4 linked regions of the Arabidopsis thaliana genome follow. The protein of the gene in region 2 interacts with the protein of the main gene of each other region in a pairwise test. Each region holds a gene or a part of one and is shown on either strand. Other genes may lie near its edges.

Region 1 (8,297 bases), on a different chromosome or scaffold from region 2:
CATTCTTAGGAGGAATCACAGTTTGTTACATTGACTTTTTAACTCGTTTAAGGATGAACAGTGCTACGTACCTGTATAACAACTATCCACTTCATTAGCACACTTTATACAGTATTACTTCTTAATTTCATGATCCAATCAGGAAAAAAAATAGATTTATAACCTGAAAAATTTAGTGCATGGCTTGGATTTGCTTCCTAAACCAGTTGAAATTGATTCCATCTCTGTTGCAAACATTAAGTGCTTTTACTTGGTTAAACTTTTCTACAATTTTCTCAATACATATCATTTGGACTTGGCACCAGTATACCATTCTGGTTTTGAAAATTTCCAGGGTTATAGAGTTTTGAAATTGAACTCAACAGCTTGAGTTGATACAGATCAATATATCAATCAAGTAAATCCAGTAATGTTGAGTGGTCACAAAGGCTAATGGGAGTTGATTGATGAATCCAATGAATATGAGAAGAAGGGTAAGCCAATAGCACAACACAAAGCAGAACAAGATACAAACTTCTCATATCAATTGTCTCCCAACTCTCAAGTAAGGTAATACCAGACTGAAGCAGAAAAAGGGTTTGCGACTAATCTCTCTAATGAACACAAAAATGAACAAAGGAACAACCTTTACGAGAGACAGAGCACACATTGCAACTAGAAATGAACAAACATAAGTGATACCAAAACATTCTCTCTTGTTGTGAAGATCTCGAATTTCTAAAACCCAATTGGAGACAATAGGAAGGAGAGGAGTGAAAGAACAAACCTTGCTTAGACCTCTTGAATCCGCCATTGGAGTTGTGAGAGGCAGCAGCTTCAGGGCGTCCTCTCTTACGAGCATCCATGTCTCGATAAGATCGATTGAATCGGAGTAGGTAGAATCGAAGAAAGATGAAATGAGATCTCAAAGTTTTGTGATATGAGCTTTGCGATTCTTATCCTTTTAAAATTCTATTGGGTTTATCATCATCATCATCATCTCCACACACACAGCTCAACAATATAAATGGGGGATAGAGGTTTGCTTAATTTGTTAATAATATAAATTAATTCGTGGAACACCAAAAGACCAGGAGACTAATTCCATTATTAATTATATGGATTACTATAAATTTAAAGTATATACATTAACATTAGAATGAATTTATGTTTTGACAATAATAGAGTTTATTTGATGAGACTGGAATCAAACTTGTACTCATGCAAGTAATAAACACCAAAAAAATATTCAACTCTGATTATTTGTACACATATTACTTTATATTTATTGTTAATTCACATCCAGTGGTTTCAAAAATAGAGAATTGTTAAATTTGCGCGTTTTAATTGTTTTATCATAGTCACATTAGTTTTAATATATTCAAAAAATACAGAAAAAATAATTTGGGTAACGAGTCATTTGTAGAAATTTTGGAAAAAAATCGTTAAGTTTGGCGCGTTTTAATTTTTTATCATAATCACAGTAATTTAAACTAAAAAGTAGTATTTTTTTCTGATAACTCTATCAATAACATTCAATCTAAAAAAAATACGGAACATATAATTTGAATAATCGATCGGTTTAAGATTGCCATTAAGATTGAACATATAATTGCCATTAAGAATTAAGATTGTCATTTTAACAAAAGAAAAATTATAAAAAATTTCTAACATCGGGTCGATAAGACGATAACCCTGATACTAATTTATTGTTAACCGTTCTTATAACCATTGAATATATTTTTTTAAAACAATAAAATAAATTGAAGTAAAGTAACCATTGAAATATTTTTAAAATTGAAGGATTCAGTGACAGGTGATTTATGTTGATCTCACTTTCCATCTTATATTCTTGCTAATTGAATCAGATTTTGAATGTTATGCTCAAAGGTCAAAAGCCTCTTCTCAATATTTACATGCTTGGTTCGATTCTTTTTACATTGTTTAGACAGGAATTGGGGATTTGAGCAAGTAAATTATTAACGATCCTGATGGCAAGCCTGATGATGATCACACAAGTTCAGAATTTTTTTTTAAAAATAGTGTTTTTACAAACAAAATTCCTAACGATTATTTTCATACATTCTGAAACCACAAATTAGAAGAATACTACTAATTGTTCATCATATATGAACAAAATCATTTTCTGGGATCCCTTAAAGCAAAACAGAAGAAAAAGAAATATTGCTAGTCATTTTTCCTAGGGGTGATGGTGTCATACATACTCACCCCAGCAGCATTGGAAGCTCATGCGAATACGGTTCTTCTCCATCTGGTTCACCAGCACAAATTATGTTGTTGTTAGTGATCTTAGTGCATGACAAATAGAAATAAACAAAGGCCGCTGTTCACATTTATTACCGCTTTCGTAATCAGAAGCATCCGTAAGCCTTGCAATGGCAGCAATAAGCGCCTGTTCATGTTCCTATATCATCCAATAACAACAACACCAAGTTTCACTTCACTGTTTCTTTCAATCGATATCTCGTCACAAAGTTCTTATCAATTATCATATCGCTCACCTTGAGTAGCTTCTTGGCCTTATCAAGCTCATGTGGATCAGGAAGGTTTGAATCAAAAACTCTCTCGACCTAATGCGAAAGATTTCGACATCAAAAACCCTTTTTGCCTAAAGAGAAACAAAATGCAGAGAGATAGAGATACCTACCTCTTTCACAAGTGAGTCTGTGTTGAACAATTCAATCTCACCGAAAAACTTCCTCCCACCACCGTTTTCCGTTGCTAAATGTTCTCTTCTTGGCTGAGTTCTTGGACCTCTCCCTCTACCACCATGGCTTAAGGTCCTTCGATTCCCACGAGTTGTTCCACCGCCATGTCCTACATTCAAAGTTACCCCATCTTCCTCTCCATCCCATCTTATATCTTTCGTTGGAATCTACAATTATATAACTAACTAACTTCAGATTCTGCTGAAAATGTTTTCATACTAGGTGGATACACTATACAAATGTTTCCCACGTAATCTTACTAATGAAAGCTACCTCCAAAAACAAATGTAACTTTACCCAAAAGACATTCTTGGCAGCATTTTCCACAAAAAACTTAAAAACCTAATAATATCAAAAACTCGTGAAGATTACCTCATTAAGATCAACCCATTCCCATGTCTCATTCACTGTGTTTATATCATATACCAACGCATGTCGACCCTGCGAGAGAACAATGAATGCATCAATTACAATATACTTAAGCTATGTTCAACGCTAAATACAGTTCCAAACTTCTAGATATATCAAAGTCATAGTATACTTTTCAACGCCTCATATGCACATTAACAGTAAACACCTCCTTTCTTCAATTCATCAAGAACTACACTATAGAGAGACTTGATTAACTAGAGAAGTCTTTCGACAAATGCCTAAACCATGATCCTAGACTAATCCAGAGTACCCCGGCTCATTCTGCCTAAACTTCCTTTTTAACTAGTGAGCTATCTAGCTAAGCGATTCGACTAGTTGCTTAGCTTTCTACACAGTTACAATCAACCTAAAGTAATTGCAATGCTCACTCACTAGAGTAACTCTGAACTATACGGTAAATTTCGATCAGGCTTTGAGGCCTTGGAGTCAGATATTCGAAGTACAGGAGACACCTCGACACACAAACATATATAATGCTGAACATATGAATTTCTGATTCAATCTCAATAAAAAGGTCTCAGCCATCAGAAGTTACCTCATTTGCATTGTATTGTGTAACTACTGCTTCATAAAAGCTGTTGTCTTCAGGCCATTTTGTCCACACTTTTCTTCCAATAAGAGCTTCCGCAGGTTCATTTGCTGATACTACACGGTTATTGAATGACTTACTTCTAGTAGAACCAATCGACGGATACTGCATGTGTATCACAAATGATATGATCAGTAAATAAACAGAAAACCATATGCAAATACAGATATCCTCTGCTTGTTGTTCTATGACCAAAGATTAAAACAAGAAGTCTTACGGATTGGAACGTCTTCTGTTTCTTCCGAGAAGCTGAAAAAGTCGGACTAGGATGAACATCGAGGGACTGATGTCTAACAACCTGGTTTCCACCTCTTGGTCTCGAATCTCTGTTGGTCCAGTTCCATCATACAACACATTATTACAAGATACAACGAAATCTAGATTCATAGCTTTACTATCACAAATGATCAGACTCGTTACCTTATTCTTTTGATAAGATCATCATTATGGACATTGTTCAACAGTTGTCGGTTTTCATCATCAGATATCCTCAATTCTTTACGTAGGTTTGTCATCACGGTTGCTTTATCCTATAAAATGAAACCATATAAGCCAAATCCTTTGTCTTTTGATGGCAAAAGGAAGAAAGAGGACTTACCCAAGAAAATTCATCAGCCTGTGCTTGAAAAGCTCTTAATACAGCAGAATAAGCTTCCTGCTCAAGTATATGAATCTGCGCTTCCATATTAATGTGTAGACCTACCATATACTTTCCATCCAAATGAAACCAACCCTTCTTCTGAAATGTAGAAAACACTTTATAACATCAATAGTTTAACAAACTACTAAATTTTCAGGTACTTCACGAAAAACATTGGCACTAATCAGATTCATGAATAATTTTGACAGTCGAGGTCTCATGAGAATGTAGGAGCTTATTGGTGGACTTATTGTATCAAGAAATTGGATAACTTTAGTTTAAGCGAATATTCGGACAGCAAAAAAAATAGACATGAGATGATCAAACAATCTAATAGAATGTGAAAAGAATATCTTAAACCCTAAGAAAGAGAATAATTTAGTAAAACCCTTTTTTTTAAACTCCAGTGATATTTCAAACCCTAGAACTGTTAGATCTCTCAATGGACAAAAGAGAAATGTCTTAAATCGCTCAAACTAAGTACAAAACAGAAATTATACCTCCTTATTCAGAATCCTGTCGTAAAACAGCAATCTTTATACGAAACCCTTAATTGTCGAAGAGAGAAAGATTGACTCCCAAACGCAGAGGCTATAAAGAGCTGATTGGATCCGAAGTGAGTAATTCGTAGGGAATTGAAGAGAGAAATTGAAAGAATTTGACAAAAAGGAAAGAACTTTTCTAAGTATTGGTAGAGATTGATCTTGATAAAAAGCGGAAGTGCAGTGTTTTGAGCTGGCTGGGCACAGCGTGCGATGAAGAGAGAGAGAAGAGAAGATCGAAGACGGGAAGTTCCAAGTTGGAGGAGAGAGAAACCTTAGTTTGGTCGGAAGCAGCTTAAGACAAGACGATGCGTTTTTGTTTAATTTCATTTTGGGCCTATTTTATGATAACATAGGCCTGTTTGGCCCAAACTGTTAATGAAAATATGAAATGTATGTTTTTTTTAAGGCACCTCTACTGGAGTCTCTAAAGTCTAAACTAAGACTTGTATTTATAATAAATAAAAGTTGGTTTTTATGCTAAAATTGTTTAGAATCAGGCTTGTTAATTTAATGTTTAAATTTTTTATATATCATAAAAAATAAAATTATCTATATATAAGCTCCATTATGCATAAGCTTAAACTATATATGAATATTATTTTTAATTGATATTACATAAAGTTAATAAATAATTTTAAATTAATGTAGTTTTAGTTAATACAATTATATAATTTAGGAAAAACTGAGATTTTGAAAATTAAAATTTACACTTTATAAATTTTATCAACATTTTGATATTTTAAATATAACTTGTTTTATATGTTGTCTAGCATTTTTAAGGTTACACTATCTTAATTTTTTGCATAATGATGTTATTTAAGGAAATATTTTATTTCTGATGGATCTTAGAAAAGTCAGATAAGTAAACTGAAAATCGAAATTGGTCCCGTTGTATACAACCAAAAGAAAACAACAATATCAGAAGATAGTAGCAAAAGAACGTCATAAACCACAAAAGCCAAAGTTACAAAAATCCATTCCATTTGTATCCTCTCTTCTCCTTTTTGGACTGTCGTCTATTCTAGTTTATAAACCACCACCATCAATATCATCATCATTAGACTGTAACACAACAAACACCACACAATCCATATATCCCTATGCTTCCAATACACATTTTCAGATAATTCAAACTATGCATGTGAGGAGTTTCAAAAGAAGAAAAGAAGGAAAAAGTGAAATCACATAAAAAGAAATGAAAGATACAAATTAGGCCCCATCATCATCGTTATCAACCGCTTCTATTCAGGGTTCCTTGGGATCTCCTATATGAATCAACTTTCTCCAACATGAACTTCTCATGGCAATTTGCTATAAACCTATCAGCCAATTTATCAATCTCATTCATCATCGTCTCTGTCTCCTCTTCTTGGCCGTCTTTAACTTTATCCTCTAGCTGTCTTAGATAGCTAGAGAGCTGAGATGGTTCTTGATCATCATCATCGCGACCATCCATGGATTCAGTGGAGTACATTGACTCCCAAGTCGATTCGTGTACGAGATGAGCTAAGTAGAGCTCTTCCGGGAGACGCACTGGCGCAGAGACAGGCACTACGTGAGAGGAGCAAAAGTTGTAGTGAAGTCTGAAGGAGCCGAATAATATATTATTCTTTTGTTTCTTTGAGACTCTCTTTGGATAGAGTAAAGAAGACACTGACAAGAAATTGTATTGCTTCTTTCTCAAGACTCTAACAAGAATGGATGAAACTCTAGATATTTCTCGGAGTAGCCGACAAACTTGAGAAATGATGAGAGTTTGTATTAGGGATTTGAGTTTCATGGAGCTTGAGGTTGGTGAAGAAGAAGATGAACATTGAGAAGAAGACATAGAAGAAGATGTTGATTTGAGTGGCATTGCCATTCTCTCTCTCTTTCTCTTGTTACAAATTAAATCTTTGGTTGGGAAAGGCTTATTTCTAGTTGAACATCAAATATTATGAAGAAGGGTTTGACTGAAATATCCTTATACTTTTGGACTATTTAAAGGGATGCCATTGCCACTCTACTTTGGAGAGTTTAATTGTGGTCGGGGTGGTGTGTGTGAGCCCACTTGATCTGACGTGTTTAACGAATACTAGGAAAATCTCAGATTTGAAAGAAAGAAAGAAGAAGTGACTTTAGATTCAAGTAACTGACACTGATCATTGCTTCTCTGTAGTCTGTACTCTCTTTATTTCAACTACAATTTTCACATCTTTGCTAATTTCTGTCAATCAATAGCTATAATATTACCACTGAATAGATTGCAAAGTTCGACAACAAAAATGTAATCAATAGTAGTTATTATTAGTTTAATGTCTTTCTCTGTTAATGAAATCAAATAGAGTGAAACTATATCCATCATTTTGCATGGTTTAATTGATCCACAGTTTGGTCATTGGTGTAACACCAAGTATGTAATATCGAATAACAAACCTAACGACTTTACTAAACATTCAAACGGATATAATAAAGGTGGGATGACGAATCTTAGACCACATGAAACAAATTTGTACAGCACTTTTATGCCCAAAAACAAATCCCTAGGATCCCCATATCGAGTCTCTATGACCATATGCCAGAAAAAAGATTCTACTACCCCGCTTCCTATATTTCAAAATATTTGCATTTTTTAATTTATTGTTTATCTACTTTTTGTCTTTTTTTTTTTTGTTTTTTTAAATATAGGTTACACAATCTATATTTAGCCCCCAAAAAATTATAATAAAAAATACAGTTTTTAAGTTGGACAAACCAAACTGATCAACAATCTTAAATTACGCCAAAAAATAAGTTTTTTTTCCTATGAATTGCCTTCTTATTAACCGCAACATTATAAACATCAATGCCTTAATCTAAGAAGATCTATACAATCAATTAAGTTACTGAAATTAAAAGAAACAACATATTTATTGGCGTTGATAATTAGGGTTACATATGCACCTTATGTCCCAAATTCGATATGATGTTGATAAACAAATTAAGCGGAACAGCTTCTGACGAGACAAGATAAGATAGCAAAGGACTCGACCTGCGCTTTTTTGGAAAAGGTCACTACGATATATAAGTTTTGCGGTGACACGACTTTTGATAGTCTGAGTAGAAAAAAGAATTAAGAATCCAGCGAGTCCTCTCAATCATGGACGACTTTTTGTCACGAGCCAACGGTGAAAGACAAAAACTTTTGTAATATGGGCTTTTTTAATTAACATCTATGAGCCCATCAAAATAAAGGATCCATTAGCCTGGGATGTTCAGAATGATCAAGTCAAAAGAAATTTTACATCTCTCTCCGCTTCTTGACATTCATAACATCTATCTTTGCATTCACATCTCTAACGATAATAAATCATTTAGCAATAGTGCAATACGGATAGAAACCAGTTTATCAATTCATGAAGAAA
Region 2 (6,824 bases):
TAAGAGGCTCACTCTGAAGTTTCGATCTTGCCTCAGCAAGCTTTGCACTTGTTCTTTCATACAGTTTAGGGAACCCACTGAATATGTGAAACCTGGAAGAAGGATCTTCAGAGACAATTTCGGGAACTATAACCATTAACGATCTGAAACATTCCAAGTTTGTAGCTTTGTCCACATAAATCTTGGAGCCAAACGTTCTAGAAACTTCTAAGAGAACATCCTCTTGTCCCAACATATCACAAGCAAGATATACAACTGGTGCATCTGGGTGGTTCCATATGCAATTGATGATCTGAATTCATTGAACAAGAATGAAAATGGAGAAACTTTACACAGAAACGATTCCAATGCATAATGATTAAAGCCAAATCACCTGTCTAATAGCTGAATGCTTAGTGGGAAACCTCTGAGAGTGAGATGATTTCCCAAATGTACAATCTAAGAAAATGTAACCAAGAGAGCATTTTGGTTTCATGCCATGGCTTCTTCCAACATATTTCTCAGGTAGACTATGTAGACAATCTAGTGTAAGCCTACAATCACCAGTGTGAAGTATGTTACCAAAACTTCCTTCAAACAAGAACATAACGGCTCCTGAAGTTTATGAAATTCGTCACAATTTGGAAAAAGCTAAGACTTTAACAAAAGCAAAAGGTACAAAGGAAGTTACCAGGACAATGATTAGCATCAAAAGCAGTAACTTTAAACTCGCCATCAGGATCATCAACAATCACTGATTGACCAATTTCAACTCTCACGAAGTAAGACTCATCAAGCTGCACAATTATGACAATTATTGAGGAAACAGAGAAGGAAACACGAAGAGATAAGAGATAGAGGAAACAAAAACCTGAGGGAAACGTTGAAGAAGAAGAGAGATGGTGAGGGAAGTAGAGTAAATGGGGAAGACGACAATGTTAGAAGGAGAAACCCCAACGGTGTGATCTTTATGAGCATGAGTTAAGAAATGATGTCTCTTTCTTCTCTTCGTCTCCGTGTATGGTCCAAAAGTGTCGACGGCAAATGGTAAACCTCTTGGCATCTCTATCGACATCACGGCCCTCTAACGCCGGCGACGGATATAACCAATGACTAGGGTTTCTGCTTCCGCCGATAATTTTAGAGTGAAATGTGATTCTGGTTGCTTTCTAGGGTTTTGGGTTCTCCGATTGATTTACTCTGAAGAAGAACCACTTCAGATCCGGCGGATAAAAATTGTTTCTGCAGAAGCGAGGGAAAATTACCCTCCGATCTTAAAAGTAAAATTTATAAAATTACACGTTATATACTTCGAAATAAATCGTTTCTTATTTTTATATATTTATGATTTAATCGCATAATATGATTTTGTCTAAACGATAATTCGTTGTTATTATAGATGTAATAATTTAAAAATTAAAGAGAAAAACAATTTAATTAATCCATGAACCCACCCAAACTCGAACAATTTACCACAGTAAACAAAGCATTCAAATCAAACAAGCTTAGAAAAATATAGATCAGACATAATACAGTATTTGGCAAGTGAATAAATTACTAATACTCATATACAAAGGAGTTTACAGAAATCTTTATTGTTTGTGTGTGGTTTTGTGATACTTGTCCTTGACCCAACGAAAACCAATAGCAGAACCAGTCTTGAGCTTCTTAAAACCAGAAGAAGCTACAGCTTTGGTTTTGTCTAACCCTTGTCCCATTTTCTCCTTGTACTTGGTCGTGTTTGACGTTGCTCCACTTCCGCTGCTTCTCACGACGGCGCCGCTGCCGATTCGGCCTCCTTTGGCAGAGTCGCCGCTATTGTCCCACTGGTCAGCCCACGATGTTCCGTTCATTATTGTATATCGTCTTCTCAAAAGTTTTAAAATCGAAATGGAATTTGTACTTTGAAGTTTATTTGTGATGTTCTCTCGGTTCCTCTGTTTTGTTTATATACACATTCATATTTCAAGAGACGCGTTATGTATGGTCAAACCTTGTGTTCGTGAACAAATATGACTTCTATTGATTTGCTTCTTCTTTAACTTTATTTTATATGAATTGTCACACTCAATATAATCTTCTGGAACATTAAAAGAATCTCTCGTGGAAAAAATTGAAGTAAATTCTTTATATTTTATAGAATCAAGTACACATTGAGGAAACTTCTTCAAATTCCCCGAGTCTAGACGAAGACTCTTCAATGTTTTGACTTGACGACTCTGAAGTTGAGAAACTCAAGCATAACGACTATTTTTTTTTTCTCAAGGTTCTCGAACAAATCTGATTTTCTCATTTGGGTAAAGAATTTAAAATCGAGGAGATAAGAGAACTAATAGGTGGATAATCAGAAAATGCTCTGTTTTATAGGCTCTGAGTAAAATAAACATGATCGTCTTGTGCTTTGGGATTAGTCAAGGTATAGAAAAGTCGGACGATTAAAAATGTAACCAAGTAGTGTGAGAAATATTCTAACTCAACGACCAAAATTAGCTTCTTCCATTAGTTTAATAAGCTGAGAAATGGGGTTATATATGCCAACAATCTTACAACTACAGCTAATTTCTCTAATCAACCATTTTTCCCAGAAGATCAAATGGAATTTGATGACAGGACCTTCGAAGATTACTTGTGACTTGTGAGTCAAGGAACATCATCACATTGGCTCTGCTGCAACCCTTTCTTCTCTGAGAATGGTAAAAGCTATGCCAACAAAAAAACCCAAAAAAAAGGTCAGAATCTTGAGTATTTTATAGAACAAACCCACAAAACTTTCAAGATAATAGCTATGCATAAAGGTAATAAAAAAAACACATGGACAGTGATCAGAAACTGTCACAGCAAGAGGAAACCGAAAATTTATCTAGATTCACTAACCTGACGAGCGACCTGAGCTACACGTCGACTATCACGAGATGGTTCAGTGCTGGTGAAAGAATCCAAATACGCGTTGTCTTTCTCACCAGTCTTATGTCTCCTGCTTCTGCTTTCATCGTCGTCATCATCATCTTGTGAGGAGGAACCTCCTCCTTCAGGGCTGTTACTTCCATCCTTATTATGCTTCCTCTTATACGAGAATTTGATACACTGTTTCTCAGAAGGCGACAAAGGTGTAGTAGAAAGCTCAATATCATTCTCTTTCGCTTCTTCCTTCCTTGCTTCTGTAAGTGATTCCACATCAGCACAATCTCCATTGATAGTGTTCCTTTCTACCACCTCAGCTTCTCTGCATCTACTTAGTATGGAAGGAAGAGTATAAAGACAAGGATCTTTATTCTCTTTATAAGAACACCGGTTAATACTAAGATCTCTGTCACTCATATGTGGTTTAATAACACTAGCCACAACTGATCTCTCGTGGTTGCTAGAGTCCTCACGCACTTCTAAAGAAACTGCTTCATTGGGGGCTTTCTCCTCTTTGCTAAGATTTGTTTGACAACCATTTGCCAATTTCTCCAGGAGATACCGCGATTCTCGTAACTCCGTCCTTAACTCTCCTACTATATCTTCAGCTTCTCCAAGTTGAGCTTCAAGTTCCTCAATCTTTTGCTGCTTCTGCAAAGATATCATTTCTGCCTCCTTGACCTATAACCACAAATTCTTTTAATGAAATAGAGTAGAAGAAGAATTTGCAACAGAAAGGAAAAATACAGCACAAGTGACATTGAAGTCCATCCTCAAGAAAATGTACCACAATCTCAATTCCCAAAGCTATAATCAAAACAAGAGTTACTGAAATAAGTGTAAACCAAAGAACAGTTTCTCATACTACCTAGGTCCTCGATACCCTATATAAGCTCATTGTCATCACACAAAGCTCAGAAATGTCAAAACTTTATCCTCAAATCAATGTCAAGACTCAAAATATTAGCTCAAGAAACAATTTAGATGATGAAAAGTTTCTTCAAGTTTACAGAATCCACAGAAACAAATCTAAAAATTGAAAATTTACCTTGGAATCATATATCTGTTTAAGCCTAAGACATGCACGAAGAGCCTCATCTCTAACAGACGCAAGCTCTTGCTGATACCCACGCGCTTTCCTCTCAGTAATCATAACACGCGCCGCCGCTTCCTTGGCTGTGTTCAGTATTGTCTCAGCGTAAGCCTTCTTCAAGGCGGTTAATTTCTGCTAACCATTAAAAACACAAAACAATTCATCGCAATCCCAGAACGGAATAATCAAAACCCATATCCGAAATACCAATCCAGATCAATAAACGAAATCAGAGACAACAATCCTTTATATAAAGAGAAATGAAACCTAAAAGAAACAGAGAAGAAACAAAAAAAACTTGTTTTTTTTTTAATTGGGAATGTGAAGTCGAACACGGCGGAAATTTAGGGATTGAAAATGAGATTTTTACCTCTGGGTCAGTCATTAGGGTTGAAAATGCGGTTACGGCAAGGGAATTTTTTCCCGACCGAAGTCGTGAAGAAGAAAAAGAACGAGGTAGAGAAGAGAGCAATCCTTTTTTTTTTGTTTTTTTCTTCCAATTGTTTTGCTTTTTTCCTTGAAGAAATCTGTCAGTTAGGAACGGAAAAGATAGTAATTACGTTGTTACCCCTGAGTTTTCCACTTAATTACGTTGTTACCCCTGAGTTTTCTACTTTATTACAGGAACACCACATTCATTCACTTAACAAAATGTTAAAGGACGGTTTCACAAAATGTAAAACGTCACCGGTTGAGAATTATCATTCATATTGGTACGAATCACTTATTAGCAATAAGTGTTATTTAGTTAAGGTGAATTGTGTAGCATAGACTAAGTATATGTGTTTCGTTGTTTGGCCATTTGAACTAATCTTAAGAATGTTCAAATCGATCTTAAAACCAATCTTTAGTTGTTTTATCCAAACGGTAATTTACTTGTTTTGTCTTAGGTTTTTTAGCTTTCATAGAGAAATTTACAAGCTAGAACAAAATTAATCTAGTATGATACGTATTAAGGTACCTATGGTCATGGTGTGAGGCGCATTGACATTGTGTGGTTTCATTGTATGAGTCAATAATGTCTTGTTGTTGCCGTGTGAGTGTGGAACAACTTAAGGTTTTCAAATACCATAAAGGGCTTGGAATTGTCAAGTGGGAGGTAGAACATCATTCAATCTTTAAAAACCTATTTGAACAAATATTATTTTCTGTTTAAGTACACAATCCTATCATGATCCACCCTTTTCTAAAATTCTGATTTGGGAAAGTCACATACTCATCCAAATTGGCTAAAGCGAAAACTAAAAGGAGAAAAGTCTCTTTATAGTGGCTTTATCTAAACAACTCCTTTAACTTCATCTTTGTTGTGTGCAACCAAGAAAAGGTAATGGTGTCTTTCATTCATAACCAATATATGTGCTTTTCCTTTTCTTTTTCTTTTCCACAAGAAAATGTTTGATTAATAATTAGAAGATTTTTATATCTTTCCTATCATGCAGCATGCATGTTGTTAAACCCCCATGCTTAAACTTCGATGGGATATGATCATGACACCACGTTAATTTTTAAGTTAAAAAAAAAAAAAACTAACAAGATAAAGCGTAAAAGTTTTAAGTCTCTAGTTTGTTTTAAATCACTAATTGCAACAACAAAACATTTTTACAATGGAATACTTCTAATGTTGAATGATTTGAGTTAAGACGACCAAAGATTAAGAAGATAAACCAGAGAGAGTCGATAGAGATAGAAAGGTTAAGTTCATGTGCTGAACCAAGATTATTGGAGAAGCTCATCATATACTCTTTTCTTTTTGTTAAACCGTGTTACATCATTAGCTAGACTCCAATTTTTTTTAAGTTTTATGATCATTGTGATTTGTAAAGAAATTTGTTATAGACATTGAACTTGTAATCTCTTATTTAATTTGCAAAAAACAATATTTAACCAACTGATCAACAACGGTCATTTAATCGTACAATATAATTCTTATAAAATATCATGTTTATTTGCGAACATATAAAGTCAACCCCGATCAGCAACAACCTTCTCCAAAATTTGTGTGAATTCAATTATTTCTTCACTATATTTGCAAGAATGTGGTTATACTATACTTTTGTGTGATATTTTCAATTAAAATAGAGTTTAGTGATATGATCCACATGACAATATCCCTTAAAACATGATTAGTCAGTCGAATTAATCGGTCATGTGTTTCACTAGTGGTGTGAATGTGAATCAATCAGTTTGTAAACTATGAGGAGATTCATACGTTAATCATGCTTGTAACTTGTAAGGGATTATCATCATATCTGGTTTTAAAAGGACAATTTGCAAGGGAAATTAAAACTTTAAAAGGCTATTAATTGAAGGGGAAAAGGAAAAAAAGAAGAAGAGAATTGATGGATACATAAAATACTAGCTAGTATTTAAAGTGATGAGGATATCATGTGCTCCCATTGGCCCCATGTCTTCATCAAATATTTTGATGCCACAATTTGGAATATTCTTTTGATTAGTTTATCAATCATTTAATCCTAACCAGAAGTAATTTGTATTTCAATAAAAACAATGTTCTAAAAGGGATTTGGAGGATTAATTTAGATTAAAGCGAAGGATGAAATAAAGAGTACTAACAGATTGAGATTATCAAGGTAACTTTTTGGTTGCTTGTGTGATTCGTTACAAGCTAGCTAAAATAAGATAATGGTTTTTATATAAAGGTAATCAGGTTGGATGTAATCGGGAATCGCACTAAGTAAGTTGACCAGATTCGTTTAACACTAACATTACATTATAAAACACACTTATAATACCATCTTATACAGTTTAATTATGAACTACCATTCAAAAATCACATTTCATCTTCATGCGCATGACACACCATACTTCCTTTACCAACTTTTTTTTTCTC
Region 3 (7,878 bases), on a different chromosome or scaffold from region 2:
CCAATTCAGAAGTTCAAGGAGCCAAACACACACTGATTGTGAAAAAAGTAGCAAACGTAAACAAATACCTTGATTATGCTAACACCAGATCCAACGTTCACAAGAAGATAAGGATACAAGTCATTGGGATCTATCTGTACAAATTCTTTCTCACCCTCCATGTGCGTAAAGGCTTCATGTCGAATAGCCTGCAGAAAATGCAAGAAACTAAGAATAAATTCAAAACATACACATGCAAATAGACAAAAGAAAAGTAGACTAATTGCAAAATTTCAATAGTCTTAGCAGAACTTTAAGTATAGTAAAACACACATACAGATATCCAGCTGTTTTTCTCTCATGTGACTCAGAACTTCAACAAACAAATCAACCGGTCACATATAATGAGAGTCTGTCTTTACGTTTCTATTTCGCAAGTGCTAGTAATAAAAGGTACAAATATGTATGCAGAGACAACATAAATGGAATGTTGCATAAAGAAAGGTCTTACCTTGAGCAAAAAATTTGCTCCAGAAACAAGACAATGCATTTCATCTTCTTTCTCAATACTAACGCCCAGCCGTTCCTTGAACAAGTCTGCAAATTTAAATGCCCCGCCACCTGTGACCTGAAAGATACACGTACGCTTGACTCATATGTTTAAAACAAGTAATAATCAACTAATCAAAGCCGAATCAGCAAATCACATTACATGGATATACAAGACTTATAAATATAAAAAACGTTTCACCTAAAAACAATAATTATGAGGGTCTTAAATGTTATCTGGTATCTCAAATGAAAGAGCGAGCTAAATATATGCAGAAGGAGCCTCAAAAGGTGATAAAGATAAAAACAATCAAGTCATAAAAATGCGATTACCTTGATAACACCAGTCCCCAAAGGCAAGGTCTTTGAACTCCAAGGATAAGGATCTATTCATTTAGTTGAAAAGAAATGGAGAAGAAGACGAATTGAAGAGTAAATCACCAGAAATTGATCTTATAATACAAAACAACATTTCATACACTGAAAAGGATAAAAGTAATAATACCTCGGCGATGAAGCTGCTTGGAATGAATAAAATCCAAGCACTCATTAATTTTGTGAGTCTCAAACTTGACAAAATGAAGTCTACCACCAAGAACAGGATAACTTCTCAAGTTGCCATTGGTAATACCCAATCTCTCCTTGATCGTCCTCTTCCGCTTATCATCATCATTAGAGTAGTCCTCATGTCGTGAAAAATACAACAACTTTATCAAAGAACCTGCAAATAAACTTAAAAGGGTTCATAATTCTCAAACATAGCACTTAAGAAATAAACATCGAAATTGCCAAAACCAAGAAGTGACACCAAATACTACTGGAAGAACCACAAGCACTAGATCAATGGTCAACTACAGTGAAAATAAAAAAGAAGTGAAATTTGTTGTCACCTCCGATATCAAGAGCCAAATGAGAGATATCATCAGACTGATTAGGCAATAAAATGGTGGGATCTCTCTCCTCGAGGTTCCCCTGAATTTCGGCTTTGCTTAGATCAAGCTGAGGTCTAGAGCCTGATCTGTGGATCGGAGTACCAGAAGTAGAAGGAGCCATATTTTTATCAGCAGCAACAGAAACCTGAGATTTTGCTTCAGCTTCTCTTTTATTGTCAAGAATTGGATCATACTCATCCTCTTGACCCGCCATTTTTTTTTTTTATTAAAAAATAAAAAAGGAACCCAACCAAACCCAGAAAAATCGGATCACCAACAATTGCCTAATTCTCCCAAACCACCACAAAACCCTTCCTTGCAAAGTTTAAAAAGTCAAACGACACGAACTGATGATGATAAGACTTTCCAGGGTAAAGAAGTAAACTGTTCGAGCTTTTGCTAATACGATTATACGACTAAGCTTAGAATCGCTTAAGCAGGCTGAAGCGGACCTAACTCCAAACAAAATTTGTATTTATATATAATTGTTTGTTAACTAATTAACTACCACATAAATTTCCCAAAAAAAAAAAAAAACTACCACACAAATTTGTAGTTTTTAATGAATTTGTAAGTGGATTAGGTTTGGTGTTTCACAATAATGACCAAACTCGAACTCCACTTGCCACTTATGAGTTTTTCCAAGTCATAGATGAGGATTACTGTGTTGGTTTCGATATCTTAATTAATCCGTCACACTTAATTCTTTATGTTTTACGATTTTTTGAAGTTTAAGATTTTGCTAACATTACACTATTCACGATAAATCACTTTTTCAGATTTAAGATATTTTTCGCCGGAATTTAGAAGGTAGGATATCCTTTAAAATGCTTTTGTGAAGATGGATTATATTATACAATTGGACTATTTGGTGTAGATAAAATCTTATGTGGGAAACAAATATTTTAGGAACACTAAACCAAAAATACCATTGTTACATTTTTTAATGATAAAAAAGTTCACTTGCAAATGTAACAAGATACAACCTCGTTGGGTTGATATGTTAAGAAAACTAGCTGATGGATTGGTTTTTCATTGGGTCTATTGGGCCAATGTCATGGGCCTGATGACTTTTATTCAGTTTCTTAAATTTATATTCCAGTTTAATATAACATACTCTTTAGTGTGTAAGCATTTCTAACCACGCGACTAGCCGACTACGCGAAAGAAAGAGAATTGTCATACTAGAAAACCGTTACCACGTACGTAATTAAGAAGAGTCCATTATTTTTACAAATAGATCCCTTGGCCGTGTATTTGGACAATGCCGACATGCATCTTATGAATAAGGGCAAAAAGGACTTTCGAGTTTACTGGCGACCACAACTCGCAAGCCAACGCGAGCCTCTATTTATTATTTTGTATCCTTTTTTTTGGTAAAAGAATTTTGTAACAATATCCATTCCCTAGCTAGATTCTTCTTCTTCTTCCTTGGATTTGTTCTCGTAAGCATTCTTCTCCAAAACGCCCACTTGTTAAATTTGATCCAGTGGATTTGGGTTTTGTTCCGTCTTTAAGCTCCATGGCGATTGCATAATTATGCTCTCAGGATGGGTTTCTCTCAGGCCATTCGCTTGAATCTTGCTTCCTTCTCCTCTCCCTCTCCCTGCGATGTTTGTTTCCTTACCTTTCTCTATATTATCCCCTATATTTTCATTTATATATCGCTGCTGATTCACAACACTTTACTTACTCTTAACTTTATCAAACTTGAATTTTTGACTTTTGCTGGCCTTGTTCTGATTGTTCCTTGTTCTGGCTTAAAAAGATTGCAAATTTCAATACTGTTCCTTTAATTTGAATAAGTTTGCTTGCATCCATATTGATTAGTGTCTGTCCAAAATAATCAAACTTTTGATTTTGATTTTGATGTCGGCCATATGATTTTTTCTTATGCAGTATTGTTTGACAAGAGTAGTAAACCATAAGCAGAAGAGTCTTGTCGCATTCCCGAGCATTACAAGGAGAAAGAGACATCTTTTACTGAGTGTTCAATCAGTCTTGCACAATACAAGACCCAACATCAACGACAATGGCTCAGCTGAGTCTGCAAATGTTCTTTTCGATAAATTATTTGCTCGGACACACAGATTGGAGAGACAAACCAATCAACACTCGGTTTATCCTGACGATGATGATCTCCCCTATTCAAACCTTGGCGTGCTTGAGTCTGACCTTGAGGCTGCGCTAGTGGCCTTGTTGAAAAGGGAAGAGGACCTGCACGATGCTGAGAGGAAGCTTCTCTCTGACAAAAATAAACTTAACCGGGCAAAGGAGGAGTTAGAAAAACGTGAGAAAACAATCTCTGAAGCTTCGTTGAAGCATGAGAGTCTACAAGAGGAGCTGAAGCGGGCAAATGTGGAGTTAGCTTCTCAAGCCAGGGAGATAGAAGAGTTAAAGCATAAGCTAAGGGAAAGAGACGAGGAACGTGCTGCTTTGCAATCGTCCTTGACTTTGAAAGAGGAAGAGCTAGAGAAGATGCGTCAAGAGATTGCAAACAGAAGCAAGGAGGTTTCTATGGCTATTTCTGAATTTGAAAGCAAGTCACAACTCTTAAGCAAAGCCAACGAAGTTGTCAAGAGACAAGAAGGTGAAATATATGCACTTCAGAGAGCTCTTGAGGAGAAGGAAGAAGAATTAGAGATTTCTAAGGCTACGAAGAAACTTGAACAAGAAAAGCTTAGAGAAACAGAAGCCAACTTGAAGAAACAGACAGAAGAGTGGCTGATAGCCCAGGATGAAGTGAATAAGCTTAAAGAGGAAACCGTGAAACGTTTAGGAGAAGCCAATGAAACCATGGAGGACTTCATGAAAGTGAAAAAGCTTCTGACTGATGTAAGATTCGAGCTTATTTCTTCTCGGGAAGCTTTGGTATTTTCCAGGGAGCAAATGGAAGAAAAAGAGCTACTATTGGAAAAACAATTGGAGGAACTCGAGGAACAGAGGAAAAGTGTGTTGTCATATATGCAAAGCTTGAGGGATGCGCACACTGAAGTTGAAAGTGAGAGAGTAAAGCTCAGAGTTGTTGAGGCTAAAAATTTTGCGCTTGAGCGGGAAATATCGGTCCAAAAAGAATTGCTGGAGGATTTACGAGAGGAGTTGCAGAAAGAGAAACCATTGTTGGAGCTAGCTATGCATGATATATCCGTTATTCAAGATGAGCTTTACAAAAAAGCTAATGCGTTTCAGGTATCACAAAATCTACTTCAGGAGAAAGAGTCAAGTTTGGTGGAGGCCAAACTAGAGATTCAGCATCTGAAGTCCGAACAGGCTTCTCTAGAACTATTACTGCAAGAAAAGGATGAAGAACTCGCTGAAGCTCGAAATAAATTGGGAGAAGTGAACCAGGAGGTAACAGAGCTAAAGGCACTTATGATCAGTAGAGAAGATCAGCTTATGGAGGCAACTGAGATGCTGAAGGAGAAAGATGTCCACCTTCACAGAATAGAAGGTGAGTTGGGCAGTTCCAAGCTGAAAGTCACTGAAGCTGAAATGGTGGTGGAAAGAATTGCAGAATTGACGAACAGACTGCTTATGTCAACCACCAACGGTCAAAATCAGAATGCAATGAGGATTAACAATGAGATAAGCATTGACTCAATGCAGCAACCACTAGAGAAACCTCATGATGATTACGGAATGGAGAACAAACGGCTGGTGATGGAGTTAAGCTTCACCAGAGAAAATCTACGGATGAAAGAAATGGAAGTTCTAGCGGTGCAGAGGGCTTTGACATTTAAAGACGAAGAGATCAACGTGGTCATGGGAAGATTAGAAGCCAAGGAGCAGGAACTCAAGAAATTGAAAGAAGAAACGATCAATGACAGTGAAGATTTGAAAGTGCTATATGCCTTGGCACAAGAGAGAGTCGGGGAAAAAACAATGGGTGATCTGGCCATAGAGATGCTTCAGCTTGAGGCAGCTAACCTTGAAGTTGAAGCTGCGACCAGTGCATTACAGAAGCTTGCAAAAATGAGCACGGAACTGTTAACTCAAGCTGACATGAGCATTGAGGCCGACACAACTCACACTGTAATGCCAGAGAGAGGGTATTCAGAAGGAAGTAATGAGTGTCTTGGTGAGGTAAAAACAGAAGTTGTCAGGCTCTGGTCCTTGACAGAGAAACTCCTGGAGAACGCAGGAATCGTTGCTGGTACATCTACATGCATGGAAGGTGTAATTTTATAAAGCTTTGATTAACTTTATAAGCCTAATCTGTATGATTCTTTTGTGGATATGTAGAATTACTGGCGGTTAAATATGTTTACTTGTCACTGTGAGCAAGTCTATTGGAGAGTCTTAATCAAGAACTCTTTGCATTTTATAATAATAAATATTAAATAATTTAAAGTTTAGAGTTTTTATTGAATCTTTACAATTTTTTATTGTCCAATGGTGGTGGAGACTTTAAGAGGATTTCTTCAAAAAAAATAAAGATTTTAAAATAAAATATTATAAAGTTTTTTATTTGACAAAACTTAATAATTATTAGAAATAATAAAATTGTAAACATGCATCATGACATAAAAGCAAAAAAATATATAGAAATGAAAATTTGAAAAAGGATAATATTTAAGCTTGATTCGGACCAAAATTTTGCCATATATATACTCTGATACTCAATCAAATCATATTTCAATCGTTCATGCTAAGTACAAAAGTCGGGTTTTGATACTTAATAATTACTACAAATATTAAAATTGTATACATACATCATGATATAAAAGCAAAAAGAAAATATACAAATCAAAAAACTTAAATAACGACTAGATTTAAGCATTATTAAAACAATGCATAATCCTTTTTTTATATAGTTTTTTCTCAGCCAGTCACAAAGCAACACAACTAAAGTCTTTAACAAATGTTAAAACTCTAAGCTTAGGATCAATCCTTAGCCTAATATCTTGTTTTCATTTATTTTTATTACATTGGAGGTGGTCTAAGTGATCTCAAAACTAAGTGATTTTTAATGATTTGTATTTGTTTATTACGTAGATAAAATTCAGCCGAGAGTGGCTGCCACCACAAGGTTCTTGCCAAGGGTAATCTCTCGTTTAGGTGTCGTTGATAGAAAAAGGTTTGCGACGTACCCTGGGACTTATGCCTACAACAGCATGTATACACAGATAGTAGGCCGTTAGAGTGTAACTGATAGGATCACCCCTACTAGCATCGCCAAATACCAACCTTGCCCCTAAATTTCCTTCTCTATTTTTTTGAGTAACTTTTTTATAAATTTTCAAACTCGCTCCCGCTTCTGAGTCTTTTTCCGTACGAAAGAGAGAGAGATACGTCTATGCGATTCTAGGGTTTTTCCGGCGAAATTTCTCAGCCAAAGATGGTGGTGGTAAGCAAGAACAACGAGCAGCAATCGCTCATTTTGGTAAGTCACCTCTTCTAGCTCCAATTTCTCGTTCCTTGCTGGTGATTTTCGCAGCTGGATTTAGTTTGCGTGTGTAGCGTCCTGCGTCTAGAGATGGATTTTCGTCTTTCGATTCTCAATCACGCCGATACATATATTTTTGGCTCTGACTTGTTTGTTTTGTTCTTCGTTGTGTTGAAATAGACTACGGAATTGCTCCGTACTGCCATCTTCAATATCAGTTACATCAGAGGCCTCTTTCCCGTGCGGTATTTCAAGGATATGTCGGTTCCTGCTTTAGGTGAGACACTAACCATGGAAGTTTCTACAACTGTTTAATGGGAACCTGACGCTTTTGAATCACAATATAGATCTGAAGATGAAGAAGCTAATGCCTATGGACGCTGAATCACGCCGATTGATTGGCTGGATGGAGAAAGGGGTCTACGATGCCCTGCATAAGAAACACCTGAAAAAGCTGATATTCTACATATGTGAAACAGTAGATGGTCCCTTGATTGAGGAATACATATGTAAGTTCTTGGGAGATGATTGGTTAGTTCAATACTAGTGTAGTTCGCTGGTAAAATGGTCCGATTAATTGATACTCTCACTATGTTACTGCAGTTTCTTTCAGCTATTCAGATTCTGACAGTCAAGATGTCCGGATGAATATCAATATTACTGGAATCAATACCTATGGGGGAACTCTTAACTCCACTGCTGACAACTCCACTGCTGACATGACCCTAAATCAAATGAGGTGAAATTTTTTATCCTATTGTGAGGTCTAGATTGTTTTATCTTGCATAACCTGCTTAAAATTATTTCATGATTGTAGTGACAACACGAGTTCAGCTTGCAAAATGGTTCATACCCTAGTTCAGTTGATGAAGACTTTGGACAGAATGCCCGAAGAAGTAATGCATTTGTTACCTATCAGAGGTTTTCAGTTTACATCAGTTTCCATATTGCCAATTACAGACTTTGTTACTTTTTTGCTTCTGTCCAGCGCACCATTTTGATGAAGCTTCTTTACTACGAATATGTGGTATG
Region 4 (6,966 bases), on a different chromosome or scaffold from region 2:
TCAGGTGAAATGGATCCCTACCAGCCAGCTCATTATCTCGAACATGGAAGACAATGTCCCTTAGCTTCTCGTCCTTCATCCACTCAAGCTCATCATTATACTCACTGCGGTAAAGTTCTGCAATTTCAGCAATTGTACCTGGCTCCCGAGTTTCACCCTCTCTAGCAGCCATATAATTATCCCTAAATCCTGCTCTCATTTTTTCAACAACAGGCTCAAATTCATGGTAGTTATTCTCTATCCAATTCCCCTTCCCTGATGGTTCTTCCTTCTCTATATGTTCAGTACCACCAGAAGAACTTTTGGCAAATTTAAAATTGTGCTCTTCGATTTTATTTGAAGAATTTATTTGCTTGCTCGATCCCTTAACTGCATTCCCAGGTTCTGAGAGTTTTTGGTAATCATTCTTTTGGGGTTGACAATCAGCATCCTTCCCCAACGGTTCAGAAGAAGTAGACTCAAGTGCAGATTTCAAGGTTCCATTGACAGCTGCACCAAGGATTTTATTTTTGTCAACCAATTCGTGTTTTCTAGCTACACCACGCTCTTCGTCGCTCTGCTTTGAGAAGATTTCAACACTATCTTGGGCTATCATCTGAGAAGGTTCCTGAGTAAGCTCTTTCTCACCACTTCTTCTTGAAAGGAACTCTTTAGCCTCTTTTACAGACCGTATGACCCGTGACTTACGACCAGTGCTATTCTTCATCATACTTAACTGATCCTTAGAGACATCAGAAGATTGGATGACTCCGTCTGTAGGAACTGGTGGTACCACATTACTCACCTTTTCTTTGTCAGATGCTGCCATTTCATGATTCAGAAAACCAAAATCTACCATAGCCCCATTCAACATCGGAACAGCAAAACCAGAAAGTTCAGTGTTCTCACTGTCAGTCGAAGTTCCCAAGCGTTCATCTTTATCATCATCACCTTCACTGTGTGTCAAAGCCTCATGTGGAAGACTCTTCTGTGACTGAATGCTTATATCTTCCTCATTGTCGCCTGTTTCTTTGTTCACATCGAGCTTCTGCTTTTCATTAAGTTCTATGCCAGCTTCTATCTCCCGTGCTCGTCTAGCCATTGCTTTGATTTCATGGATCTTATCAACAAAGTCCAGCTCAACATGAGGAGAATTCACGAGTTCCAGTTTCTTCTCTGAACCCTTAACTTTAGAAATACTAGTCATAAGTTCATTTCGATCAAACTTAGGCTTCTCAAATGACATCAATGGCTTTTCCAAACCCTCCTTGTGCAAAACTTCCACGGTACCTTTCTCCGACATATCCCTTTCCTGCCAAGCTTTCATCTTTCTCCTCATCATCTCCTTCTCCAACTCTGTACACTCAACCTCATTACTCTTCCTATACACAAGCACCGTCTTCAGCAACCAGAGTCCAATGTAACCACACAAAACAGCTCTTCCAATCGCCGGCAACTTTGGAATTAAGTCAAGACGAAGAATTGCGTTTTGGACTGAGCTAACGAGACGAAACTCTTCCTCTGAAGAAGAAGAAGAAGAAACGAACTTGACAAGAGAACTCTCCTTATGGATCACATGTTCCCCATTCTCCATTTGTTCAGCTAATTTCTTCGCATATACAAGCTTAGAACTCACTGATTCCAAATCCCCAAGAGCTGATCTTCTTCTACTCAAGACCTCGTCTTCATCAACCTCTACTTTCTCTACGTTTCCAACAGAATCCTGATAGACAGTGAAAATGGGATTCGAACCAATACCCCAAAACTCTGCTTCCTTGTTATACCGAGCAACCCAATCTTCAAGCTCATTCAGCAAATTTGAATCTTGAGCAACCCTATCTTTCAATCCCTCGGTGCTACTTAAATCATCACAGTGACCAAACTTATGGCTTTCGTTTAGAGGTTTCGTACCTGGTTCAGAAGATTTCGGAGTCGAACGCCAATACTCATCACCGATGATCTTCTTCCTCAGCGAATTACGTCGCCTCGAGGTCTCTCCGAACCGAGCCGAGACTCGGAGAATTGAAACGCGATAGTAGTGGAATTTGGAGATGGGCAAGTTGAATCGACGTTGGTTAGCGAGTCTCCTGTTCGAATTGGACGAGAAAGACGAGAAATTGAAGAAACCATCATTGGAGTTTAGTAGAACCTCCATTGATGGAAACCAAAGGGATAAAGCTCACTTCCGAGTGAGAAAACCCCCAAAAGCTGGGTTTAACAGAACAATGATGAAACGTCGTCGTTTCTTAAACAAAGCTAACGCCTTTGAACAACACTACAGTTGAAAAAAGGTTCAACATTTTACATTTTCCAGATATAAAGCTCATCACTTCCAAGTTCCAAAAGCTGGGTTTAACAGAACAATGATGAAACGTCGTCGTTTCGTGGACACAACACAAGCATTACATAAATTTATGAACACTACAGTTGATAAAAGTAAAAGGTTCAACATTTTACGTTTTTCCTCCAGATATAGCAGAATTGTAATGAACTATATATTTTATAATAAAAAAACCTCCATGACATGAGAAAGACAGAGAGAGATACATAAGAACAACCCCAAGTTTATCGTCAGAGAAAACCCTAATTACAGATAACCATGGTTACAGAGACAAGGCCAAATCGGTGAGGTTTTCAAAATCAGTTTGATTTTTTTTTTTTAATTTTCAAGACAAGTTTGGGATACAAGCTCCTCCACCTTCACCACTTTGTTGTTGCTCTTTCCATATCCTTCCAGTGACTCGAAGTTTCAGCTCTTTCCTATCTCCACCTGAGAAGAAGAGAGCCATGTTTCTTTGTATAATTAGTCCATCATGACTGTCTCTAACTTTCCTGTGGCTGTCTCTTACGCTTCTTGGTGTTCCTTCCCATATCAGCTTCCGACCATAACCTCCCACTTCTAAACTGTAATTGTAGTTTCGAGCTTCTGTCTCGTCCCCCATGAAACGCAGGAACGCCATGTAGACTGGAGCCATTCCGAGCTGGAATGCCTCAAAGTGAAGACAGAAGTATTGACCGAAGCAGTGAAAGACCTGATTTTCATTTTTGAACCAGAAACAAAACCAAAACAGAGGAAACCTTGATAAGCATTAAAGTATATCAAGTCAACATGTATAGCGAGATGGAAGATTCACAATTCACAACCATAGATTAGATAAATAACTGGACCTTCTCTAGGAAAGCTAACTCGCAACAAAAGCAAAATTTGACTCAGCTGATCACATTACAGTTTATACCAGACAGATCAAATTTTATCACAAATATAATCCTATTACTTTAAACAAAGCCTCCTAACTTATCTAAGTGTATACTATGAAGCACGATTCATATGTACTTACAGTTAACATCCATGTGGCGTTTTCGACTTCACGAGGATTAGACTTGACATAACGATGGTTGAAAGTACACCCAGAATGCATATCCACCTTATGATCATCCCTCAGATGAGCAACTAAGAAAGGGATATCGCCCGTAACAGAACACTCGGATCCAGCATAAGGGCAGCTATAAGGTCTGAAGTTACATACAGTCTCATGTTTGAGCTTACTGTAATAAGGGAAGATTTCAGGACATCCAAGTGACATGTGTTTACAAGGTAGTTCAAGTGATTCGGCTACTTTTTCCAGTGCCAAACAACGGATATCACCGAGCTCTTGTCTACAAGTTGGGCAGCGGTTGTGAACCCTGGCTTTACAGGTTGAACACAACGTATGTCCATTGTGACACTGTAGGGAAATCAAATAATTGTCTATCTGTTATTCCATAATTCTCTAAAGAAACAATAAGAAGAATCTTAGAAACTATCAAAGCTATTGACAAAATTTAGTGACAATTGTTTCAATTGTAGCCATTAGTGAATGGATAAAACTAAATTTCAAGTTACAAGAGCAACACAACCACTGCTTCAACATCCATGATTCACATCATTAACTCAAAACCCTAAACAAAATCAACAAATTAAAGATCCGGGGAAACGAAATCAGAGAACAAGGGATTGAAAAGAAAGACCTGATGAATGGGAGGGTACATAGAATTGGTGCAGACAGGACATTCGAGAAGCTCATGAACACTGGTGGTGGTAGGGAGAAGCCCAGAAGCAGCAGCATTAACGTTGGTGGTGTTGTTATTAGTATGATGATGCTTGGAAACAGAAGCGTAGGAATGGCGATCTTGGTGGATCTCTTCATCATCTGTCACATCCATGGTTGATGTACAGTCCATGCTATCCAAATCCATTGAAGAAAGGTGGAGACTTTGATTGATCTTCGATCGAAACGAAAGATCAAAATCCGGAATTGAAGAAACACCACCGAAACAGGTCAACCCTCGTGAAGTGTTGTTAATTTTCAAAAACAAAAAAGATAGATGCTCTTCTTCATCAATTCTCTAGAGAGAGAGAGAGAGATAGTTGCCGTCAAATGAACCGGAAACGCTGATTTAAGATCGGACGGTCACAAAGGCGGCTGTGTTAAAGAGAGAATGTTATTTGGAAACAAATTGAATTATAAGAGATTCAGAAGAATTTACTGGATAGGGGAAAAATAATCATATTCTAATAATATACGTACAGTATATCCTCTCTCACTCAATGATTTCTTTGTTTTTAATTAAAGGGCCATGATCCAGTAGAGATGGGCCTAAATATGTACATGGTGCACATGATTGCTTCTTTTTTTTTATTCTAGATGTTTTTCTCTCTAGTGGGATTCTGTCTATCATTATTGTGTGTTCTTTTTTTACTTTTAATTCAAACAATTTCTTTTCCTTTGTACAAGAAAAATGATTTTCAACTTCTAAAATGACAGCTAAATTCAAAGATTCATGAAAAACATGCTCATCTTTCTGTTTACTTTAACAAAAACTTTAAGAGATGTATTTAGGTAAAATTAGACGGTTTAAGAATATGAAATTCATAAGAGGAATAATAAGTAATGGGATGTGGCTTGGGTTCAAAGTCACTTCAAAGACCAATGATAATGTAAATGAACATTTTACTCTTCTTCATCTCAAGCAAACTCTCACAATCTTAAAAGCAAATTATTCAATTAATAATTGCTTCTCATCAGTGATCGGTCTCATGAGTGATATCATCCTTAAACACACCACATAAAAGAAAAAGAAAAAAGCGAACAACAACGATCCATCCAGCTTCAATGATCTGTCGTTGCTTTTTAACAGAACATGTCAATTGTACTATTATCTTTCTGTTGGGTTTTGTGACTTTTGTCTGAGAAAAATATAAAGCTTCAAAGAATCTGGGACTTGACTTAAGAACTGTTTTCACAGCTACAAGAGATCACAAGCGGATCTGATTATTCATTCATCAAATATTCTTTAGCTTTTTACTCCTATTTGCATCAAACAATCAAATTTAAGGCACTACTGGATCAAAACTAGAAAGATTTTAGTTATTTGTTACCACTGGTTAGCCGATGTATCCCGGCACTTTTCATCATTGCCCTGAGCCAACTGCTGTGGATTAGTACCTTTTACTCGATTACTAAACAGTCTCTGGGATATTCTATCTTTAGCCGTTGTTTTCTTACGCCTTGTGGAAAAGGTTTGCTTCTTGTTTTTCTTTTCAGCAAAAACTCTATCAAACTCATCATCCATAGCATTCGATCTAGAAGTTGAGGCTATTGCCGCACCACGCAGAACTTCATGATTGTGTTCCTTAACCTTAACCTTAACAAGCTTTGCTCTTTTCCTCACCACTTCTTTGTCTTTCTCCCGGATATTCTTCAGAGCCTCTTTCGCTATTTGCCTAGCTAACTGATTAGGATCAGAATCTGAAGTTGTTTCATCCATAGACACATCCTGGTTGGTCCCTGAAGTTGAAGAAGTTTGGTTTTCACTCTCATCTAATGGAGATTCCTGGATTATGGTGTTTCCTTCATCATCCCGGGGTACAATGGGTCCGTGAAACGGACAGACTCTGAGATCTCTTCTCTGGCAAAGACCACCTTTCTTTAGAGAAGCACGGCATGGAGGTGTCTCTGTTCTCTCTTCTCTATACACGGTTGCCTGAAGATTCAATTCTGCTATTTTATCTGCTGGAATTATAGCATCTTGATCCACCCTGCCCCAGTGGCTCTCGATCTCTAAACCCCGGTAATTAGCTCGAACTTCCGTAGTTGATTCCCAATTAGTCAACTGTGATCCCCAATTCATCACAGGCGCTTCAGAAATTAGCTTGTCTCTAAGAGAGTTTCCACTGCTTCCAACTTTTTTAGTGTTCGACACTTTATTGGACCTAGCTTCTGATGTAGACTTCTTTGCTTCACCTGATGATGGTAAAGATGAATTCTCACTCTGCTGAGTTCTCATCACATGAGCCACGTTCTTGACTGAATCAGTTTTAACCTTGCCATCATCCTCCTCCCAGATATCTTCTTCTTCCTCGTTTGTTTCTTCATTACCGTGAATATCAGTCATTCTTGACATTGTAAAACCAGCTTCTTCCCATTTCTTTTTAGCTGCCAATATGTTATTCCTGATATCAATCAAGTCCTTCAACATGGAATCTCTCGTTCTGTTATCACTTACGTCAACCCTAATGAGAAGAGAGATCCCTTCTTGAACCGAGATCAGATGCTTTGTCACTAGAAGCTTGCACTGTTCCCTCAACACATCAAATACAATTCTGTTTTCACCAGTTTCTTCAACCTTTTCTGATTGTTTCAGTGAATCAAGACGAATTTGCCTCAGATGAGAACAACGGATCTCCTCAAAATCTTCCTCATCTAAGATCGCAAGTGGAACACCATCATCCCCTCTCCACTGAACAATTTCCATACACTCCTTGATTTCCTTTATCGTTACCTCAATCTCATACTTGAAGAGTCCAAAACTAACTCTCAAGGAATCAAACTTGTTCCGCAAAATCTCTTTTGTCTTCATCTCCCTCTCCTGTCTCTCTCGTTGAATCCGTGCAGCATTAGCCTGTAAATCAGGGAACTTTAACTTGAGGGTATTCTTAAGGTAATC

Evidence for each region.
Region 1: the proteins of AT1G19010 (region 2) and EML2 interact in a two-hybrid assay, tested with the Arabidopsis thaliana proteins (one large-scale study listed by BioGRID).
Region 3: the proteins of AT1G19010 (region 2) and AT4G32190 interact in a two-hybrid assay, tested with the Arabidopsis thaliana proteins (one large-scale study listed by BioGRID).
Region 4: the proteins of AT1G19010 (region 2) and AT3G61790 interact in a two-hybrid assay, tested with the Arabidopsis thaliana proteins (one large-scale study listed by BioGRID).

Annotation. Positions count from the first base shown.
Region 1 is NC_003076.8:2,091,943-2,100,239, forward strand, and holds EML2 (Emsy N Terminus (ENT)/ plant Tudor-like domains-containing protein), read right to left. Parts: upstream 5,298-8,297; 5' UTR 4,870-5,297; intron 4,469-4,869; 5' UTR 4,436-4,468; coding exon 4,328-4,435; intron 4,260-4,327; coding exon 4,150-4,259; intron 4,056-4,149; coding exon 3,947-4,055; intron 3,835-3,946; coding exon 3,676-3,834; intron 3,150-3,675; coding exon 3,081-3,149; intron 2,876-3,080; coding exon 2,648-2,875; intron 2,571-2,647; coding exon 2,502-2,570; intron 2,405-2,501; coding exon 2,341-2,404; intron 2,252-2,340; coding exon 2,205-2,251; 3' UTR 1,946-2,204; downstream 1-1,945. Other genes in the region: AT5G06770 (KH domain-containing protein / zinc finger (CCCH type) family protein), read right to left, coding at 164-224, 767-845; AT5G06790 (cotton fiber protein), read right to left, coding at 6,146-6,775. UniProt on the Arabidopsis thaliana protein: Probably involved in the regulation of chromatin states. Contributes to RPP7-mediated and basal immunity, especially against Hyaloperonospora arabidopsidis isolate Hiks1. Regulates negatively EDM2-dependent floral transition.
Region 2 is NC_003070.9:6,563,150-6,569,973, reverse strand, and holds AT1G19010 (uncharacterized protein), read right to left. Parts: upstream 4,481-6,824; 5' UTR 4,359-4,480; coding exon 4,344-4,358; exon of another isoform or gene 4,106-4,343; coding exon 3,929-4,105; intron 3,562-3,928; coding exon 2,854-3,561; intron 2,680-2,853; coding exon 2,620-2,679; 3' UTR 2,312-2,619; downstream 1-2,311. Other genes in the region: AT1G19025 (DNA repair metallo-beta-lactamase family protein), read right to left, coding at 1-292, 374-594, 671-776, 851-1,054; AT1G19020 (CDP-diacylglycerol-glycerol-3-phosphate 3-phosphatidyltransferase), read right to left, coding at 1,572-1,832.
Region 3 is NC_003075.7:15,542,042-15,549,919, forward strand, and holds AT4G32190 (Myosin heavy chain-related protein), read left to right. Parts: upstream 1-2,758; 5' UTR 2,759-3,010; coding exon 3,011-3,073; intron 3,074-3,359; coding exon 3,360-5,648; 3' UTR 5,649-5,816; downstream 5,817-7,878. Other genes in the region: PANK2 (pantothenate kinase 2), read right to left, coding at 69-188, 491-607, 862-914, 1,034-1,249, 1,419-1,674; ASY2 (DNA-binding HORMA family protein), read left to right, coding at 6,799-6,843, 7,027-7,123, 7,194-7,355, 7,450-7,585, 7,705-7,873. UniProt on the Arabidopsis thaliana protein: Required for the initiation of starch granules biosynthesis in leaf chloroplasts. Involved in determining starch granule number and size in chloroplasts.
Region 4 is NC_003074.8:22,869,329-22,876,294, forward strand, and holds AT3G61790 (Protein with RING/U-box and TRAF-like domain), read right to left. Parts: upstream 4,506-6,966; 5' UTR 4,216-4,505; coding exon 3,988-4,215; intron 3,705-3,987; coding exon 3,318-3,704; intron 3,012-3,317; coding exon 2,646-3,011; 3' UTR 2,369-2,645; downstream 1-2,368. Other genes in the region: emb1703 (embryo defective 1703), read right to left, coding at 1-2,134; AT3G61800 (ENTH/VHS protein), read right to left, coding at 5,395-6,966. UniProt on the Arabidopsis thaliana protein: E3 ubiquitin-protein ligase that mediates ubiquitination and subsequent proteasomal degradation of target proteins.